3 linked regions of the Macaca fascicularis genome follow. The protein of the gene in region 1 purifies or fractionates together with the protein of each later gene. This does not show direct contact. Links are inferred from orthologs where the notes say so. Each region holds a gene or a part of one and is shown in the gene's direction. Other genes may lie near its edges. The genes, in order: GOLGA7, ZDHHC5 and CLDND1.

Region 1 (4,113 bases):
TAACATACCAAAACTGGAAGCAACCCAAAATGTCCATCAACAGAAGAATGGATAAACAAACTGTGGGATGGCCATAGAATTGAATAGCTATCCAGCATCAAAAAGAAATGAATTATTGATAACACAACAACAGATGGACTTCGAAATAGTCTATGTGAAAGAAGCCAGGCAAAAAAGGGGGTACACACTATATGATTCAATTTATATAAATTTCAAGGAAATGAAACTAATGTATAGTGACAGAAGGTGGATCAGTGCCTGGGAAATGGGGTCTGGGGAGAGGCAGGAGGGAGGAATTACACAGGAGCTGGAGGAACCTTTTCAGGGCAATGGAGCTTTACTATCTTGATTGTGACAATGGTTTATGGGTGTATTCATATGTCCAAAGTTATCAAATCCACTGCTTTAAATATGTGTGGTTTATTGTATGCCATTTATATCTCGAAAAAGCTGTTTTTAAAACACAATGGGAGAATTTTTCATATTTAAAAGGCAGGATATTTAAACTGTATTAAATATATAAGACATGGTACTGAAAGGTTGTATTAGCAGGAGACAAGGTAAGGTGGGGTTTCTTTGGCTGCCTTGCAAAGAGATGCTGAGTAAAGTAGGGGCCAGTGGGCAACGAGGGCAGAACTGCTTGTCTGTCCCCTTGGGTCACCTGAGGGGCATGGGTGGCGGCTGGGTGGAAATGAGGGTGAGAGGAAAGCCGCCGTCGAGGGGCGTGGATGGGAGCTGGGTGGAAACGTGGGGTGAGAGGAAAGCCGCCCCCAAAGAAGGGTCGGGAAGGGGCGGGGACGGCCAACGCTGGGGCCCACGCAGGTTCTTCGTCCTCACTTCCTGACCCTTTCTTACGAGTCTAGGGACCAAACGGATCCATCCCCAGAGCCCTTCTACTTCTGAACACGATGAGCAGTTTATGTTTGAGGGTTTGGGGATGGGGTGTTGTTTTTTCTTTATGTTTTGTTTTTCGTTTTACGTATGAGTTGGGTGGCACAACCCACACGTAAGTTGCAACGTCCAATCAAGAACGAAAATAACCCCTCACAATCAGCGATCGGGAACCAGCTGCCACAAGTGACACAGCCAGGAAACTTCGTCCCTCACACCCCCGCGCGCTCGCGCCTGCCGCAGCCCCACAGCTCGCCCCGCCTCTCTCCTTCCGGAAACAATCTCCGAGGGCGGAAGGCGGGGTCGGCCCTGGCCCCGCCCACAGCGTTTCCCTTCCTCGGCCCAGCCCCGCAGCGCGCAGCCTCGGCAGGGTGGCTTTACGGCCAGAGGAGAGGGTGGGTCCCAGACTTGAGGTAGGAGGCCGAGCTGAGGGGCGGGGAAGAGGCTTTTTGCGGCAGGACGTAAGTGACGGCGAAGGCGGTGCGACAGCAGCTGGAGGGCAGAGGAGGCGGGTTTGTTTCCCGGGCCGAACCGGGTTGTTGGGGGGCGCGGGGCCTGGGCCAGGCGGCAGCTAAGGCCCGCGGTGACAGCATGGGTGAAGGGGAGCGGGGCAGAGGAGGCCTTGGGCTGTTTTGGGCGGCGAGTGGGGGCGAGGGACTGGCGGGTCGGAGTCCCGGGTCCAGGCCGGGGCTCTGACCCGCGGTTGGTGTTCCCCCGACCCCGCAGCGCGGGGTGTCCAGTCCTCGCCATGAGGCCGCAGCAGGCGCCGGTGTCCGGAAAGGTGTTCATTCAGCGAGACTACAGCAGTGGCACACGCTGCCAGTTCCAGACCAAGTTCCCTGCGGAGCTGGAGAACCGGGTACGCAACCTGGCTCCCCACGCCTGCTCTGGCGAGGGAGAGAGACTCACCGGGGACGGGAGGGGTGTGGGCGACAACCGGGCCGTTGAGGATCCAGCAGTTCTGGGGAGGGCCAGGCACAGAAGGGGCCTTGGCCAAAGGTGTAAGAAGAGAGCCACTAAGCAAGACAGGTGTTTGGAGGAGCAAGAATAATATACGCCGATCGCCGGGGTTGACGACCTTATGGAACTTTGTTGCCCGGTGCCGGGAATCTGGATCCAGCAGTCTTCCCCTGCTGCACTCCCTCAAATCCCCACCCCGGGTAATTGTCGGCAGCGTTGAGGAGCCAATTCCTGAGGCTCCAGGCCACCTCAGCCACCAGGTTTTAAGCTATATCTTCCTACCTCTCCGCGCAAGATAAATCATCATCATTCTCATAACTGGTGTTTGCTGCCTCTGTGCTGGCCGCACTGTTTGACTGAAAGGGTTTATTAGGTGCATTGCCAGGCGGTGCATTTAGGCTTTCTTGGAACCTTAAAGACGTAGAGCGTTAGATAGGCCTGGACAGGAAAATATCTCAGAACAAGGCCTTAAACTTATCACATTCACTGGGAGCCACGTGTTTTGTCTTGCATATCAAAATTGCCATCAGGATGTAGGTCCTTTGGGTAACATTGCATGCAAAAATGTAAGAATGGAATTTGCTTCTCCTTCAGACTTAGCAAACGTTTTTTTAAAAAACCATTGTATCTTGTAGAGGTAATGGAGTATGTGCGTGCCTGCCTGTGTTTTTGTGTGCCCACATATGTACACTCAACCAAAGATTCTTTTGGTCTTGACCCATGTCATGTAGATTGTGTTTCCTGTTCAGGGATCAATTTCTGGTTAGCTGGAAGCAGGTTTTGTGGCTCCCTCCTCTGTGACAGGGAGGGCGAGGGCCTGAGAGGTGATTAGGCATTCGTTGGGTGTGGAACTGAGGGATGCTGGTCATGGGATAAGTAGGTGTGGATGAGTCTGTGTAGAGAAATGTGTAGCAGTTATTTACAGACAGTTTACAGTGAGGTGGGTTGCACTGCCTGATTGCCATGGTTGGGAAATCAACAATGATCCATTATAGTTTCCTTCAGTTTGACATAACCATGGGCAGGTTAGTGGCCCAAATATGTTTCTTGAATTGCAAATTGATCAAATATGCCTTTAAAAGATGGTGAGGTGACTTGTTTCTGAAATGCCATTTAAATGCTGCAGTATCTTGTCAACTATGTTATGAGTTAACTCAGCGTGACAGTAGGTGGAACTATCTACAGTGGTTAGAAGAGCTAGAAATTCAGCAAGTGGCCAGTTGGTTAGAGCTACTGAATGTTGTTTTAAAATAATTTAACATCACAGCTGATGTGTTTTACATGTTAAGATTTACATGGAATCAGGCTGGGCGCGGTGGCTCACGCCTGTAATCCCAGCACTCTGGGAGGCCGTGGCGGGTGCATCACTTGAGGTGGGGAATTCAAGACCAGCTTGGCCAACATGGTGAAACCCAATCTCTACTAAAAATACAAAAATTAGTCAGGTGTGGTGGCGGGCACCTGTAATCCCAGCTACTCAGGAGGCTGAAGTCGAAGAATTTCTGGAACCTGGGAGGCGGAGGTTGTAGTGAGCCGAGATCATGCCATTGTACTCCAGCCTGGGCGACAGAGCAAGACTCTGTCTCAAAAAATAAATAAAATAAAAAGATTTACATGGAATCAATCAAATGTTTTATTTTTAAGCCTCTCATGGAGATTATGACATACAATTTTATGTACTTCAAAATCAGAATATAAAGTATTCTTTTTTTACCGCCATTATTTGGACATTAAAGATTCATTTGCTTTAAGGTTTTAAAGCAACACTTACACCTCATATTTGAGCAAATGTGTGTACGCAGAATCAGACATTAGCCTTCCACTCTGTGTGTGGCAGAGCCTTTATTTTGTAACCTAAGTACAAAAGCACAATGTAGTTACAGTGCTCCACTGATTCTTCTCAGGAAATTGATGTTTCTAAATTCTGGAGTCCTTTTACCTCTTTGACTCTGTGTAGCCCAGAACTGCCTGTGGTACTGAGTACTATATGGAATGTTACATGGCACTATTCAATTGTGCCTGTGAATTTCTTTTTTCTTTTTAAATGTTTGGGTTAAAACACTAGCTTATGCTTTAAACCACTAGAAAAGCTTTGATTGTGTGTGTATGGGTCTGTGTGTGTGTGTGTGTGTGTTGAGATTAAATTTAAATTACAGGTTTAAACTTTCCTTGCTTTGATGAAAAATTGAAAGGTTTCTGTTTCTCTACTACTTACCCTAGAAATTTTACTGATTGCTCTGCTGTTGGAGCTGATTTTCTTTT
Region 2 (3,646 bases), on another chromosome or scaffold:
TATGAAAAAATGCTATGAAAAGAAATCAGTAAAATTTGAAAACTTAATTTGTAATCCCACACTATCATTTATTTAATTTTTCCTTCCCACATTTTTTTTTTCTAGGTTAATAAAAAATAAAAATTGCTCTGGGTGCGGTGGCCCATGCCTGTAATCCTAGCACTTTGGGAGGCTGAGGCGGGTGGATTGCCTGAGCTCAGGAGTTTGAGACCAGCCTGGGGAACACGGTAAAACTCTGTCTCTACTAAAAATACAAAAAATTAGCCGCCGAGGTGGCATGCGCCTGTAATTCCAGCTATTGGGAGGCTGAGACGGAAGTATCACTTGAACCTGGGAGGGGGAGATTGCAGTGAGCCAAGATCACGTCCTTGCATTCCAGCCTGGGCAACAGAGCAAGACTCCATCTCAAAAAAACAAAACAAAAAACAAAAAAATTGCTAATTGTATATGAGAAGGCAAATAATGTCTTTTAAGTTTTGAAATGGGATGGTGGGTTTCTGATAGCTGAAAATTGAGAGAAAGGGCATTTATGCTTGTGCAACAAATAATACTGAAATATGTATATATATATAGAAAATTCATAGAGTAGGGGAAGACATTTTGGGAAGGGATTTGGTTTTTTCTTTTTTTTTTTAAGACGAAGATGAAGTCTCACTCTGTTGCCCAGGCTGGAGTGCAGTGGCGTGATCTCAGCTCACTGCAACCTCCGCCTCCCGGGTTCAAGCGATTCTCTTGCCTCAGCCTCCTGAGTAGCTGGGACTACAGGCGCACGCCACCACACCCGGCTAACTTTTGTATTTTTAGTAGAGACGAGGTTTCACCATGTTGGCCATGCTGGTTTTGAACTCCTGAGTTTAGGCAGTCCGCCCTTCTTGGCCTCCCAAAGTGCTAGGATTACAGGCATGAGCCACCACGGTTGGCTGGGCAAAGTATTTGTGCCTGGAAAAAAAGGTTGATGTTAGTTCCTCTCCTGAATTGCTATAGTTCACTCATATAAATATAGATACTGAACTCTTATGTAAACTCATTATGTATGTGCTTTGATATGTAAACTATTTGTTTAAAATATATTCATATACTTAAGCCAAATAACACCAGCAGATGCATACAAGAGCTACCTCTTGAGTCATTTTATCTTGAACCTCACTTCCCAATGCAGAATAAATTGCTTCCTCATCCGTGTTCCCATAGTGTTGTATAAAAACCTGACCTCACAGTCTTATAGTTCCTAGTCCCTAGTTTCACTCATTAGAATGTGAATTCCTCAAAGGCAGAAGCTATATTTTAAACATCATTGGATCCCTAGCACTTACTACAGTTCTGGCATAGTTGTTTTTAATTGACTTTTCCTCTCTACAGCTGAGGAGGATGAGGACAAGGAAGATGATTTCCGAGCTCCCCTTTACAAAACAGTGGAGATCAAGGGCATCCAGGTGCGCATGAAATGGTGTGCCACCTGCCGCTTCTACCGTCCCCCTCGATGTTCCCATTGCAGTGTCTGTGACAACTGTGTGGAGGTAAGCACCCTAGGTGGGGTAAGACTTCATGCTTAACCTTCACTGTCTTCATCCTAACCATATAACAGATTCTTAGCTTTGGATGTGGTATAGTCCTGTCTAACTAGGTTGGCCACATGGTCCAGCTCTGTCACATGGTGTTAGTAATGACATAACATGAGAGGCAGAGCATAAATATTATTGCAGGAGGGAAGCTTTAACTCAGTATGGGCGTAGACTTTTTTATTTACTTATACTTTTTGTAGTGATGAGGTCTCCCTGTGTTGCTTGGACTGTCTCAAATTCCTGGCTTCAAGTGATTCTCATGCCCTGGCCTCCCAGAGTGCTGGGATTACAGGCATGAGCCATTGCACCAGCAGGGTGTAGGCTTTCTTGACACCAGGATTTATAGTTCTAGCCTTCTAGCTGTTGGCTCATCTTTGGTTATTTATCCTGGCTTTGAGTTTTCTCTTCCAGAAAATCATGCCGTTGCGTTTCAATTTGTTGTAGTTCTTTTCCTGCCTGTCCTTCTGTATCCCTTGTCCTTTTTCCATTCCATTTTCACTTAGCTGTAAGCAGTTACCTGCCAAATTCTCCATCTAATCCTCTTTTCTCATGAATCTTGATGTTTTTGCAAAGCCGCTGACATTCGTCACTTTTAGAGTTCCTTGGTCACATGGGATAAACTTTGAGAACTGGCCTTGGCCTTTTCATTTTTTTTTTTGGAAGTGGGGTCTTGCTATGTTGCCCAGTATAGTGGCTATTCACAGGCAGTCATCATAGTTCACTACAGCCTTGAACTCCTGGGCTCAAGCCCCAGCCTCCCCAGTAGCTGGGACTACAAGTGTGCGCCACTATGCCTGGTTTGGCCTTGGCCTTTGACCAACCTCTGGAGGGTCTCCCTTGCAGATTTATAGAGCAAAATAAACTGGATTTAATTTTGGACTAATTGATGACCATGATCATAAATTACTAAAACCAAAACTTAGCTGCCATTTGTTTCTTTTCTTGACAGAAGTAATTTAATGCTATGGTCCAGGGATGCCTCTCATCTGTCTCTTTTTGTCCCTAGGAATTTGATCATCACTGCCCCTGGGTGAACAACTGTATTGGTCGCCGGAACTACCGTTATTTCTTCCTCTTCCTCCTTTCCCTGACAGCCCACATTATGGGTGTGTTTGGCTTTGGCCTCCTTTATGTCCTCTACCACATAGAGGAACTCTCAGGGGTCCGCACGGCTGTCACGTATCCTTCAAGGCCTTTTAGGTTGTGGGATTGGAAGGGGGAGGAATGAGGGCTGAAGGGAAAATGGCTGCAGTAGGAGCTGGGGAAAGTGAGATCATGTTGCTCTGTTCTCCTTGATTGTTTGGCATCAGAATGGCAGTAATGTGTGTGGCTGGCTTATTCTTCATCCCTGTAGCTGGCCTCACGGGATTTCACGTGGTGCTGGTGGCCAGGGGACGCACAACCAATGAACAGGTATGGAGAGAAGTGACGAGAGACCCCTGAAGAGCAGGGCATGTGTCTTTAGCCCTCTGATTAGTGTGCAGTGTAGTGCTTCCATAAAGAGATGCTTAATGAATACTTTTCATGATTATGTAGAGATTAATGGTAGGGAGTGAGGTAGTCCTAGTTCCTCATGTAAGCATAGAGGCCATTTCTCACATATACACCATGGAATACTATGCAGCCATAAAAAAGGATGAGTTCATGTCCTTTGTAGGGACATGGATGAAGCTGGAAACCATTCTGAGCAAACTGTTTCAAGGAGAGAAAACCAAACACTGCATGTTCTCACTTATAGGTGGGAATTGAACAATGAGAACACTTGGACACAGGGTGGGGAACATCACACCCTGGGGCCTGTTGTGGGGTGGGGGGGCGGGGTGGGGGAGGGATAGCATTAGGAGATGTACCTAATGTAAATGACGAGTTAATGGGTGCAGCACACCAACATGGCACAGGTATACATATGTAACAAACCTGCATGTTGTGCACATGTACCCTAGAACTTAAAGTATAATAAAAAAAAAAGAAAAGAAAAGAAACTCTCAAAGAGATACTAAGACAATAGAGATAAAGGCTGAATTTTGCCCTAAAATATCTTTTTTTTTGAGACAGAGTCTCACTCTGTTGTCCAGGCTGGTGTC
Region 3 (4,176 bases), on another chromosome or scaffold:
CTACACACTGACAATTTGCCTGTGCCCCTCCGCCACTGACAAATTTTTTTTGACTGTATGCTGTATGTAAAAATCCAGAGTCATGTTAGAATATATTTGGCTACTAGCTTATTATGTACTGCATATGAATATCGGTTCACTCAGGTGAAAGAAATGTAACTACAGATAGAGAAACATACCATGCCTTTAATCTGTCAAAGTGGTAGAAATTTAGTATCAACTTGAAGCTCCCATCTTTCTCCTGTGCTAAATTACAAGGCATTAGGGGACGGAGTGGAGGTTTGAGAGCCCCTCTGGTCCTCGAGTCAGTTTTCTCTGTAGGTTACCGTTGAGAAATCCACCATTTGCTGGTCCCAGGCCACGTTAATAGTTCCACTCATGTTATCGTTAAGATGTACCTGCTTCCTGTCCGTGAATTTCTGTGTTAAACCTGAGGGCTCAGAAACATTGTGTCCTGTGTGCCACACATCATCTGCAATCTCCAATGCTGTCCTTGACCTTATCTACTTGAGTGATGTTCCCCAAATTTCAGTCTTTTTCCTACTATACCCACAATTTTTTATTCATTTTTTGACATATCTGGTATGCTCAGTATTATTAATATTTTTAAAATTAAATGAAAAAAATTTAAAAGGAACAACATTACTGCAATAGAAAACTAGTATCACTTGTCATAAAAAATAGGCAGCTACAAACACACATTTTATGAAACCCAAATAATGTCATTACATTCTTGATGGATACTGTCTGCCAGGTCACATACTTCTTAGCCTAAACTTATGCAGTAAAACGAAAAGGACTCTGCTCCAATGGGAGGGATTCTGGGAGAGGGAAATAAAATGGGTCAACGTTTCACAAGTAGAATCCCATTTTTGTTCATTTATACTTAAATCTAGAGGCAGGGTGGTGTGATAGGGAAAGCACAGGCCTAAAAGTCAGACCTAAGTTATACAGGTCACGGTCATTGACTAGAGGTGACCGGAAACCGGTCCGCTTTACTTTCTGGACCATTGTTCCTTCCTCCCTAAAATGCAAGAATCCAACAGCCTAGACTTCCCTTCTGCGCACCGGCTTGCCCTGAGGAGCTGAACTACATCTCCCACAATGCGCCGCGCGCGGCGCCAGGATGCCTATCGCCGCCTCAGACAGCTTTCAGTCTGTCCCTCCTACAACTCCCACAAGGCCCCTCGGTCCCGGGCCGCGGCCCGGCCCGGAGTGGGGGCGGAGGCGGAGGCGCGGGAGTTATGGAGGGGGCGGGCTCTGCAGGGAAGTGCGTCAGAGGAGGCGCGGGGAGAGTAGGGTGCTGTGGTCTGAGCTAGAGGGTGAAGCTGGCGGAGCAGGAGGATGGGCGGTGAGTGAGCGGGACCTGCGTCGCTGGGCGGGGGTCGCGTCGCGGTTCGATGTTCCCGGCGGTTTGAAGAGGGGCCCCCTTCCCGGGCGTGGTCGGGACTGGGCGGGTTCCGAGCGGCGGGTTTGTCCCTGGGCCGAGCCCTCTAGGGCGGGGCCTGGTCGGGTACTGGGGGACTCTGGATGGGGGCCGCACACGACTGCCCCGCCCCAGCCCTGGCCTTCTCCGGCCCCGCTGTGAGGCCCGGGAGGTGACCGCTCCAGGCGTCCGGCTTCGATGAACCGCCGTTCCCAGTGCTGGGACCCTTTAAGGTCATTTGAGAGCACCAGGATGAAGGGGGGATTTTTAAAAAATCAAAATGCAAATCCAACTTTTTGAGTTATCGTTGTCATTGCCCTTACCTTTCCTGAGTCAGTTCCAATTTTCCAAACTCAGCAACCCCAGTTTGCGAGTCTGTTTTCGTGCACCTTTGTAAGGTGTTTGGTGCGGTCACGGTGTATACTTGCCGTGTAGTATTTGGCTCAGCGCGATCCGCCTTGAGTCATTTTACCGCGGCCATTTACTACTGCCGTTGAGCCCTGTCCACGCCTTGGGAGTGTTGATATTTTGAGAGTTTTCTGTCTGGCTGAGGAGGGATCATTTAGTTTTTGCGGACATATGTTGCACTTAGGGTTTAGGGAGAGAGCAAGGTTTCAGTTGAGGAGGTTCAGAAGTATAAGGAATAGGGAGAGTAGATAGGAGTGAAGCATTTGGCAGCGTAAAGAAGCGTGGCTTAGCTTTAATGGATTAGGGAGAGATTGCTATCTAGCATTATTATATGTTATTGTTCTCTTTGCTATTTTATACACCTAGAACAACCTTTCCCTCGGGGTTAACAAACATCTTCAACTCTGTTTTCCGTATGGCTCCTGACTCTTACCTTTGTTTTAGGAGGCTTCCCTCTTCAGAGGAAACTGGGAGAAGCCAATTGCCACTGCTTTTTCCTGTGTCTTTTTAACACTCAAACCCAGAACACTTAATCCTCTGCAGCTCGTGCAAAAATTCAGTCTGTGATTTAAAATGTGTGCACGGTAACACTGCTGACCATGGGCATGTCTATTGTTTGTATCTGTAATGTGTATGTCCATTTCAGTGTTGTCTGTTTTAGTATGCAGGTGATAGACTAGAGAACAAGACCTCTGTCTCCGTAGCATCCTGGGTATGTGAGCATTCAATAAGTACTTTTATGAGAATGAGTTTTGTTTTAAGCTTAATTAAAAACATGCTTGCTTTCTAAAAAAAAAATTCTTAATGGTTATATGTACGAAGGGATGGGGAATTGGGTAAAGGGTGCATTTGGAATAATTCAAAATAGTTTTTCTTATTTGTCCTTTAAGACTTTCTTCTTTCTTCAACTTTTAAACAGAGCAGTCTGAATGCCAGAATGGATAACCGTTTTGCTACAGCATTTGTAATTGCTTGTGTGCTTAGCCTCATTTCCACCATCTACATGGCAGCCTCCATTGGCACAGACTTCTGGTATGAATATCGAAGTCCAGTTCAAGAAAATTCCAGTGATTTGAATAAAAGCATCTGGGATGAATTCATTAGTGATGAGGCAGATGAAAAGACTTACAATGATGCACTTTTTCGATACAATGGCACAGTGGGATTGTGGAGACGGTGTATCACCATACCCAAAAACATGCATTGGTATAGCCCACCAGAAAGGACAGGTATTTCTCTTATTTTAACTTCTCTCTTCTTTACCTGGTTAATAATGGACAAAATGACCTAGTGATTGCCCAGTTACATGTAAGCAGGTTTATTGGTTCTCTCTCTCCTTAAAGAAATAAATCATGTGTATCTTCTCTTTCTACTGCCTTCTCTCCCCAACCTCTTTGCATTACCATGGTACTCATCAATATTGGTTGGATGAGGAACTTTTCTTATCTTGGGAAAGCCATTAAATTTTTTTTTATTTACTCACACATTAAAACACTTTTTATTAATCTAACACATCATAAAGAAATAGTTGGAAAAGTACATCGAAAGACTTTAAAAATATTTGGTAACTAGTAAAAGGACTACCATCGAAAATCAACTCAACAAATTGTCCTTTTATGGGTTAGCTGTATTATAATACATATCTATCATTTACTCCTGTATCTTAGGGGATATAATTTGACCAGCTCTACATTTAAATCTATGTAGATGAGACTGTTTTACAGCAATCTTGATACAGAGTTTGTAGGTTACGAAATTTGTATTACAGAAGTAAAAAAAAAAAAAAACTAAGTTTTTCAGGTTTATTTTGCAGGCATTCTTATTTAACGCTTAAAGTTTTTAATTTCCACTTATTAAAATGGTAGCCTTAGAACTCTTTGTAAGGAACAACGTTAATGACTACTTCTGTTGGCCACTTAGTGGGGAAGCATTGTATTCAAATCATAGCAGAAGAGGCTTGTGTTACCATATATCAAAAGGATGATAATATGTCACTGTATCTGGAAAAAAAAGGAGGTAATTTGGAAGGAAAGGAGAGAAAGTTGGTTAAAATTCATTGTAAAATGTTCAGTTTGACTTGTGAGGGTACAGGAGCACTTGATATTGGAGTGTTACCATTTAGTCATTCATTAAACAAATAATTTATTGCATGCCTCCATGTTCCAGGGCCTCTTAGCTGGGAGAACATCAGGAAAGAGAACAAAGTCCTTACTCCTGGGGAGCTAGCATTCTAATAAAGGATGACAGGCAATGAACAGAATATAACAGTATAAACAGAATAAACAATTATTTAGTATGTTAAAAAATGACACGTGCTGTGGCAAAATAGAACACAAAAGTGA

What was found.
Region 2: the proteins of GOLGA7 (region 1) and ZDHHC5 purify together in Homo sapiens (co-immunoprecipitation; 3 studies listed by BioGRID and IntAct, with this or other methods). This does not show direct contact. The link is inferred for Macaca fascicularis from reciprocal best matches to the Homo sapiens genes GOLGA7 and ZDHHC5.
Region 3: the proteins of GOLGA7 (region 1) and CLDND1 purify together in Homo sapiens (affinity purification with mass spectrometry; 3 studies listed by BioGRID and IntAct, counting the BioPlex papers as one, with this or other methods). This does not show direct contact. The link is inferred for Macaca fascicularis from reciprocal best matches to the Homo sapiens genes GOLGA7 and CLDND1.

The regions. Positions count from the first base shown.
Region 1 is NC_088382.1:44,991,512-44,995,624, forward strand, and holds the start of GOLGA7 (golgin subfamily A member 7), read left to right. Parts: upstream 1-1,295; 5' UTR 1,296-1,352; intron 1,353-1,364; exon of another isoform or gene 1,365-1,617; 5' UTR 1,618-1,639; coding exon 1,640-1,750; intron 1,751-4,113. UniProt on the Homo sapiens protein: May be involved in protein transport from Golgi to cell surface. The ZDHHC9-GOLGA7 complex is a palmitoyltransferase specific for HRAS and NRAS.
Region 2 is NC_088388.1:15,915,564-15,919,209, reverse strand, and holds part of ZDHHC5 (palmitoyltransferase ZDHHC5), read left to right. Parts: intron 1-1,359; coding exon 1,360-1,517; intron 1,518-2,568; coding exon 2,569-2,741; intron 2,742-2,872; coding exon 2,873-2,975; intron 2,976-3,646. UniProt on the Homo sapiens protein: Palmitoyltransferase that catalyzes the addition of palmitate onto various protein substrates such as CTNND2, CD36, GSDMD, NLRP3, NOD1, NOD2, STAT3 and S1PR1 thus plays a role in various biological processes including cell adhesion, inflammation, fatty acid uptake, bacterial sensing or cardiac functions.
Region 3 is NC_088376.1:184,490,573-184,494,748, forward strand, and holds the start of CLDND1 (claudin domain-containing protein 1), read left to right. Parts: upstream 1-1,274; 5' UTR 1,275-1,344; coding exon 1,345-1,351; exon of another isoform or gene 1,352-1,659; intron 1,660-2,480; exon of another isoform or gene 2,481-2,502; coding exon 2,503-2,546; intron 2,547-2,753; coding exon 2,754-3,063; intron 3,064-4,176. UniProt on the Homo sapiens protein: Plays a role in negatively regulating the permeability of cells to small molecules.